2 separate regions of the Mus musculus genome follow, and region 2 is reported to be linked to region 1. Evidence: microRNA targets listed by miRTarBase, many of them from high-throughput screens and not tested one by one. Region 1 holds a microRNA gene; the other region holds the end of a gene's coding sequence.

Evidence for each region. Region 1 holds the annotated microRNA mmu-miR-1b-3p (UGGGUACAUAAAGAAGUAUGUGC, at 1,519-1,541, opposite strand). A microRNA usually pairs through its seed, bases 2 to 8, with sites in the 3' UTR of a target mRNA and lowers its output. Matches are read on the target gene's strand: a 7mer-m8 pairs with bases 2 to 8, a 7mer-A1 pairs with bases 2 to 7 and ends in A, and an 8mer does both.
Region 2: the mRNA of Dclre1c is a reported target of mmu-miR-1b-3p. The part of its 3' UTR that is shown has no 7-base or 8-base seed match.

Annotation. Positions count from the first base shown.
Region 1 is chr18:10,782,520-10,787,065 of GRCm38, reverse strand. Mir1b (microRNA 1b) reads right to left here and starts at 1,620; the gene lies at 1,499-1,620. All of the region lies in intron 12 of Mib1 (mindbomb E3 ubiquitin protein ligase 1), which reads right to left. It overlaps Mir133a-1hg (a long non-coding RNA gene), which reads left to right. Exons shown (of 3, transcript XR_877177.3): 2 at 1,185-1,360. It overlaps Mir133a-1 (microRNA 133a-1), which reads left to right and starts at 4,090; the gene lies at 4,090-4,157. It also overlaps Mir1a-2.
Region 2 is chr2:3,453,011-3,457,010 of GRCm38, reverse strand. It overlaps Dclre1c (DNA cross-link repair 1C), which reads right to left. Exons shown (of 14, transcript NM_146114.3): 14 at 1,657-4,000. The coding sequence ends at 3,202. It overlaps Suv39h2 (suppressor of variegation 3-9 2), which reads left to right. Exons shown (of 6, transcript NM_022724.4): 6 at 1-1,196. Among named protein-coding and RNA genes, the nearest start is that of Suv39h2, 20 kb to the left of the region's middle.

The DNA.
Region 1 (4,546 bases):
CAAATGTATCTTACAAGGTAAGGTTCTGTGTTCACTTACACTGGGTGCTTACCTCACCCAGCTTATAAAACCAGTGCTGAAACAGCAGCAGTGTGAAAGAACGGTCATGATGTGGTGACTGCAATGTTACTGTAGGTCACTACATCTCTTCCCTGTAAGTGGGGCAGGACACTAAGCTCACAGGTAAATCAAGCACAAGAACCAACTTGGAAGGACGCTTCTGACTTTCTGCATGCTTATCTAATATTGACTGATATATATTCTCATTGTTAAATTAATTTATATCTGGGCATAGGCTAATTTCAAAGCTCAAATTAATAATTTAGTTTTAAAAATGCCATTGTTCAAACAGCATGCCAGATAACTTCAAAAATATACAATCTACCACTAACATTACATCACTACAGACAGGGTCTTTATTGTTTTCAATTAAACAGTTGTTTCAATTGTGTCTCGCTCCTCTAGTAAACCTGCATCCCTGCCTCCAGAGCACAATAGCTTCTAAAGGCTACTTCAAGATTTGGGTTATGAAATGTCTCCCCTTGCTTACTACTCAGGCCACAGACATCCGCATGCTGCTGCACGGTGCAGGTCTCAGCGGCACTGCTGACTGAGGCCCGCGTTGGCAGCTTACTAGCTTTCTTCATGGACTGCAGAAATCCTATTCCCCCACTTCCCTCCCAGCACCCCCTTTTCTATTCTTTACCAAATCTCAAAGCTTCTCAATGTCTCCTTTTGAATTAACCTTCAAAATGTCTTAGTGACTATAGGCCACTCCCAAATTATTTTTTTTTTCTTGTGCTAAATATTCAAGGTAAAACCCAGAGATTCACAGACTAAAGTGCTTCTCCTCTTTTATGGAGACTTTGGAAAAGTTATTTTAGTACTTTTCCATTATATTAAAAACCATTTTTAAAAAGTAATCTCATACAAACCAAGCACGTAACTATTTGAATTTGCATTCAATGCAAACAGAAACAGAACAAAAACTTGGCTAAATGATTTGTAATCTGTTACCTTGAAAATAAATTTCCATTTAAAAACATTAATTCACTCACACAATGAAATGATCCAATTTCAAAGCCTGTGCTAACTGTAACTTGTTTCTCCCAATAAGTTTTAAGTAGAAGTATCTGGTTTATAAAAACAATTTAGACTAAATTGATTATCATCTGTCTGTAAAGGATCTAGAAGCAAATTATAAAGAAGAGGGAGGCACGACGGAGAGAGCAGCAAGCGTGCTAACATTTCTGAATACACTTAAGACTCTGCTGACTGCATCTCTTGGAAAAGAAGCAGCAGGGCAAAGCATGGCAGTGCTTAAAAGAACCACAAGCAGAAGTGGCATTGATGGGATCAGGTAAATCTGTTGTAAAATTCAGTCTCTGATAAGCTAATCTCCGCACTGGATCCATTACTCTTCCAGAAAAGTAATCCAAATGTCCTACTAACAGCTGGGTGAGGTGGGCTGCTTCATGTTTTCACAGCTATCGGCCGGCGCAGGAGTGCCTACTCAGAGCACATACTTCTTTATGTACCCATATGAACATTCAGTGCTATGGAATGTAAAGAAGTATGTATTTTGGGTAGGTAATGTCCGCCAAGAAGAAGCTAAAGGAAACTTTCCAGGAGGATGACTTCCATACTCTGAATTCACCTGTAATACTAACAGCCCCATTCCAAAAGGACCAGCCATTCACTGGGAAAACTAACATCCCTTATACTGTACTGAAGAGATAAGTCCCGTGGAAGTGGATTTTAATTTTCACATTAAATCATACTACACTCTACACTGAATACTCACGTGATTAAAATGTGACTACTACAGAGGAAATAGTATTGCTAGCGCAAAACAGTGAGACACAGGATCAACCATTATCTGTCTTCACAATTGGATATTTTAGTGTCTCACATCTATCAAATCAGGACCAACAAATCTAATAAGAAAAATAAAGCAACAAAAAGCTGATTTTACTCATATAATAGCTATTCTTCACATGTGGCAAAATGTATAACCTATTAAAATCAGAGGATCTCGTAAGCCAAAAATTTTGGTTTCATTATTTTCTTTTCTGACAGCTATTGAAACTATAATGTTTAAAGACTATCTTTTAAGTAAAATTATACTGCACACATGAAAACTGGCTTTTGTCCTTTTCCAGCTTGTCAGTTCTTAACCCAATCTGTACTTTAAGTGCAGTTAATACTTACAGCATGAAAAAGAATGATAAAAATGGCAAAACCCTAGGCCACAACTAAAATGTAAACAGGATATATTGGCAACAAACTGTCAAAAACCTGAGTCTGTATTGTCCTTGCTTATATCAAATGACATTGTTTTTCTCACAATGAGTTATGAACAGCTACATTAGTTATTCCACAGGTCTGAAAGGTTTTCATAATTCTTTAAGAAACATTTTCACAACTAATAATTTGTTACAATCCTTAGAGAATATTAGCTATTCATTTATAAAATAAAACTGAAAACTGATTTTGTTGCTTCCAAGTTCAGCTTTTGTCTAGGAGTGTTTTGAATCACTTGAAATGTCACATCCAGCACTTAGATCAGCTGTCCCTTTTGAAGTGAGTACATGTTAAACTCTGGGCATCTGCTGACACTGCTATTACTCAAACACTTCAACTGTCACCCTGACAGGGATAACAGATGCTGACACTATCAGATGCTGGACTATTTTTTCCCATGGCCTCTCCTTGTCCTGATATGGCCAGTACACGAAACTCAATGATCCAAAAGCACACTTGAGCAACTGCACTTGCTGACTGGCTGCCAGGGACCTACTAAAATAGAACCAGGCAAGTGCTATCTTCAGCACTTAAGTTTAAGCAACCAAATACCTGTTTCACTATTTGGAAAAAATGATGCAAAGAATTAAAATTACATTAATTTCACCAGAAGCACAATAATTAACAACAGATGTAGAATAGAATATTAAACTATTTGCATACTGTCTGAGATTGTGTTGTCCTTCTACCATATTAGTTTAAAAAAATAAAATTATATGGTATTTCCCTCAGCATTCTAATTTTACAGACAAGCTATAATATATCAAACTTTTATTGTATGAGTATGTGTCAGAAGACATTCTCTTCAGGCAGGAAATCTCCAACAGAATCACATCAAATGCTTAAGTACTGGTTTTAAAGTATCACATGGTAGGTTTTAATATTCAAAATTCAGGGATTATAGCCAACTACCATACATCAATGTATCACTAACCTTATAATAAGAACAATCTATACTCAAAACAGCATAGAATTTAGTCAAGAAAATAGATTTTTAAATTTTATTTTATTTTTAATCTATTTTTTACACTCCACATTCCATTCCCCACCCCCACCCCCCTCTACCCTCCAACTGTTCCACATCCCACATCTCCTCCCCACCCCACCTCAATAAAATAGATTTTTAAGAAGGTTAATTTCTGAACTTAGGGTTAGTATGCCAACATAAACAAAAGCAAAGAATGACACTGAAGATATGTGTGATGTATTAATAAATTAAAGGACAGAGTTACTTTCTTAAGGCCATTCTTATCCTTCCACTCCGTATCAGAACTTGTTAAGTCCTCAGCTAAAATAGAAGCAGTACAAAAATATGTAGCTAACATGACCCTTTTTCAACATCTAGTTTAATTACTTAAAAACCTGGTTTGCAGGCATGGTGGCAGACTGCTTTAATTCCAGCACTTGGGAGGCAGAGGCAGGCAGATCTCTGTTTGAGGCTAGCCTGGTCTACAGAGTGAGTTCCAGGACAGCCAGGACTACACAGAGACCTGAATGAACAAACCAACATGGTGATAATTTAGAAGCATTACTCTGAAACACATGATGATTTATCTGTTCTTTCAAATGTTGGTTTTGAAAGGCTACTGTGTGCATTTAAGAACTAAGTAAAGATGCACTGATGTGAGCTGCAAGAACAGCAGTGTAGGACATATGCCTAAACACGTGAATTTTCTGTTTAACAACTGGTACACTAGTGTGGGAACCTCTAATACCTGTCATGCTATATTTCTACAAAAGAGCATTTAACCTGTTTGGATCCTACACCAGCAGCGGCAATGCTTTGCTAAAGCTGGTAAAATGGAACCAAATCGCCTCTTCAATGGATTTGGTCCCCTTCAACCAGCTGTAGCTATGCATTGATTACACATGGACAGCCAGTGTTTTATGAGCATGAATTACATCTCAACTTACTCAATTCATACAAACTGTAACTAAAAGCAAATACCTAGCAACTGTCAACCTTATTTGGAAGAACTAAACTGGATAAAGATGTTTCTTAAAAGCTTCATGAAATGTGATAAAAAGAATTTCAAATAAAGTTATTTATTTGTGGTTGTGGTATTAACTTTTCATTTTAATTAATAAAATGTAAAAATTTTTATAAAAGCACTTTAAATCTTAGAAGTGACATAAACTTTTCTTCTTCTGAAAGTGATAATAAAATGCTTACTGTACCTCTAATAAAAATGACAAAAATATTTGAGAAATTCATCAAAAACTCACCTAAAAACATGATGGG
Region 2 (4,000 bases), not on the chromosome of region 1:
TTACTGTTAAGGTTAAAAGGAAACTTAGGAGGGCAAGAAGGAAAATACTGTTTAATAAATATGTGGCTTTGTTTTGTCCTTACTAATAGAAATTTAATGTGCCCTTAAGATTTTGTGGGGAGTGGGTAGGCCTTTGGACAGAGTATCTGTAGCCAGGTTAGCCTTGAATTTACTGTGTAGCTGAGTATTATCGTGAACTCCTCAGCTCTGCCCCCCTACGGCCCAGCGCTGGGATTGCAGACACGTGCCACCATGCCAGCCTGGAGATTTTTACCTTTAAACACAAACAGACTTCACTCTGAGTGCCACACATGTAATGGTCATTGCTTCCCTTCACTATTCCATTACTCTTTCCTGCCTCTCAACATTCCCCCATTACATCCCTCTCAGACTGTCACCTCATGTTAGCTATTTATACAGGGTATGTGTATGTGTGTGCACATTGTTGTGATAAAAGTGATCAATTCAGCTGGAGCCTGATTCCTCACGTCACACGTCCCAAGTATGTAGTGTCTTCAGCAACATGTCCTTGGAAATAATCATGACAGGAACTTGAGCAGAGGCTGGAACCATGTAGGAAAGCTAACGCTGCTTCTTGGCTTACTCTCAGCCAGACTCATGCTCAGCTAGGTTTCTTAGATAGCCCAGGCCCCTCTGCCTAGGAATGGTACTGCCCACAGTGAGCTAGACCCCGCTACATCAATTACAATTAAGGAAATCCCCACAGACATGCCACAGGCCAATTTTGATGGAGCCAGTTTCTCAAATGAGGTTACTTTTTCCCAGGTGACCCTAGGCTTGTCAAGTTGTATGAGAAGGTATATACAATCAGTTTGCATTTGATTCTTCTCTGAAGTAAAAGTGGCTAGCCTTTAGGATTTTGTGATGTATCTTGGCATTTTGAAATGTTTTTAACTTTGCTAATTTAGAACTCTTGAAGAATGATGTAGCCACTACAATCAATGCTGCCCGTTTTAATGCTTTATGTAAAGAGCTTTCCTCATACAGCAGAGTGCTCGAGCATGGACTCTAAAAGCTTCGGGGTGTGTGTGTCTGTGTGTGTGTGTTGCTTACTAGCTATGTGAACTAACCTTTGTGCCTTAGTTTCATGCCTACCTCAAAGTATGGTTTCATAGATTAAAGCTTTATAAAGTGGGCTTTTTTTTTAATAACAGAATAAACACCATATGTAAAGATTTCCTGTTGTTCTGTATTTGAAACCTAAGCTGATAAGCATGTATTCTTAGCTCTTGACCTTTGCCAGCCAGTGTTCATGCCAGACTTAAGATCTAAAACATGAACATTACAATGATAAAATGTTAGAAATACATTGAGAACAATGTTTACAGGCATGTTACCTTGGATCATGAAATATTCTATTAAAACCAAGTTGGGTTGAGTGTGGCTCAGGTCAAAGGAAACAAAATTAAAATTAAGTTTTGAGTATTAGTGACTACACAAATGGAGAGTTATATGTACAGATATTCTAAGTCCAATCACCCAGCAGGTTGGGTCCAGTAATTCTGGATCTAATTGTGTAGCAGTTATGATCTGTGACATGCAGTTTAACTGTCAAATTGTTAGACGCCTTTTAAACTTATGTGGTGTGCCTACATCTTTTCCCTTGATTTGTAAAATGTCATCATACTCAAGTACTTATGAAAATGCTTATAAAGCTTTATTAATCCATACACATCAATACAAAAGCATTGTACCTTAAGGCACTTTAATAATTCACAGAGCATGTATGTTAAATATTTAAGTATTTTCCTTTACATCATTGCATTGGGAACAGTTTCATGTACTGAAACAAGCTCTTGCTACATACATTGCCCAGGCCTGACCTCCAACTCAAGTCCCTCTAGTCTCAGCTTGTAGAACACAGCCTTGCCTAGCCTGCTGGTAGCTTTTAAGGTTTATTTTTATATATGAGTCTTTTGCCTGTATGTATGTATGTGTGCATGGATCCCCTGGAATGGGGTTACAGACAGTTAAGAGCCACCATATGGGTGTAGGGAACCAAATCTGGGTAACCCACAAAACCGACAAGTGCTCTAAACTGCTCCAGCCCTGCCCCCCCACCCAGGTCTTTATGTGATAGAGGTTAATAAGGTCCTGGTTTACCCCCTGCTACCAGTTTACTAAAATAGAGCCCACCTTTATTTTTCTAGACTGCTTGTAGTGATTCAAGATACAGTGTATCTTGGTGGAGGAATGGTCCTTGTACATTTGAAGAGATGTATTCTGCTATGAAGTAAAATACTCTTGTCTATCAGATCCAGTTACTGGTGGTCAGTTCTCGTCTTACTGCTTTCCTGTGTGCACTGGTTCTCTAGGAAAGCGTGTTCCATGGCTTGTATCTGTATTATTTGCTCTTTTGTGGAGGGCATGGCACTGTACTGTACTGGAAACTGCAGCTAGGCCTTCATACAATCTAGGCAAGAACCTTACCATTACATCTTCTTGGTGAGGTAGACATTATGTTGGGGAAGGTGCCTGCTCCTACTGTATCATTCTGGCTTTAACATTATTTATGTGGTCTGCCCTTTACCTTCAACTTTTACATCACTTGAGTTGTGTTTTCTAAAAACAGCACATAGTTGGGCAGTGTTTTTCCTGTACTCTGTCTTTTTGTAAATCTTTTTTTTTTTCTTTTAAGATTTGTTTATTTATATGTAAGTACACTGTAGCTGTCTTCAGACACTCCAGAAGAGGGAGTCAGATCTCGTTATGGATGGTTGTGAGCCACCATGTGGTTGCTGGGATTTGAACTCCGGACCTTCGGAAGAGCAGTCGGGTGCTCTTACCCACTGAGCCATCTCACCATAAATCTTTTTATATCATTTGCATTTAATGTGATTATATGTTTAGATTTAGTTCTACCATCTCATGCAATGCTGGTTTTGAGCCTGTTTCTCTTTCTTTTAGGTCACTTGAGCATCCTTTAATATTTCATGTTGATCTTATTATATAGATGTGTCACTCTGCAGATTTCTTGTGGTTGATCTAACAAGTGTGTCTACCCTCCAGGCCACATACATCCACAGCTATGGATATTGCCCAGGACTTTTATGTATAGCATTGTATTGCAACATCGAAAGGCTGGACATCTTTGCTAGAATGAGAGGGTTTTTTTTTCTGTTGTTGTTGTTGTTGTTTTGGTTTTTCGAGACAGGGTTTCTCTGTGTAGAGTTTTATTTGTTAACTATCTAAAAGTGAACATTTTCTTTTTTCGACAACTATACTTTGACCTGTTGCCAGTTTCCTGTATAAGCACTGCAAATGCTCTGGCGTAGGAAGCTCCGCTTCGGGAGTTGAGGGGATTTCAAAGTCAGAGGAGCTCTGTGAGTCTGCACGTGTGCTGCTTAGCAATGTCTTCTCAGGTGGAGACTTCCTGCCACTCAGGGTGTCTAGTTCTACAAGACAAGGGGCTCCATTTACTTCAGCTCTGCTTTTCAAATCACAGTGAGTATCTTGTGGACACAGTGCATCCTGTTCTATTTGAGAGGCAGAAATACTCTCTTTGAGTTTTGGTTTGTAGGCACCCTTGTTTAAAGAGGTACTATCCCCACCACTTTTCTCTTGGGAAGATAACAAAACAGTATCACACTGGCTGTCCCAGCCTTGACTTCCTTGATCTGTTATATGGGTTGACTGAGATGAATTCTGGGAAGAGATATGGGTGGAGTCTCCATCAGAGTCACTGCAGAGCTTTGGTGAGTCACTGCAGAGCTTTGGTGAGTCACTGCAGAGCTTTGGTGACTGAGATCCCCCTGTCTCTATGGAGGAAGGTAAGTGTTCCAAACATTCACCTGTGATTTCATCTCTTCTTTTGAAGAAGACTTCCCACTGTGGTATGTCCACATCCGGATCAGCATTTTGCTGGACGAGTGTCGAGGGGCCCAGACCTCCCTGCAGTGAGGGTGGTGGGGTTTCTAGCTCTTCTCCACTGTCGCTGTTGGATTCTTCACAGTCTATGAAGTTAGCCAAAGAAGGGCTC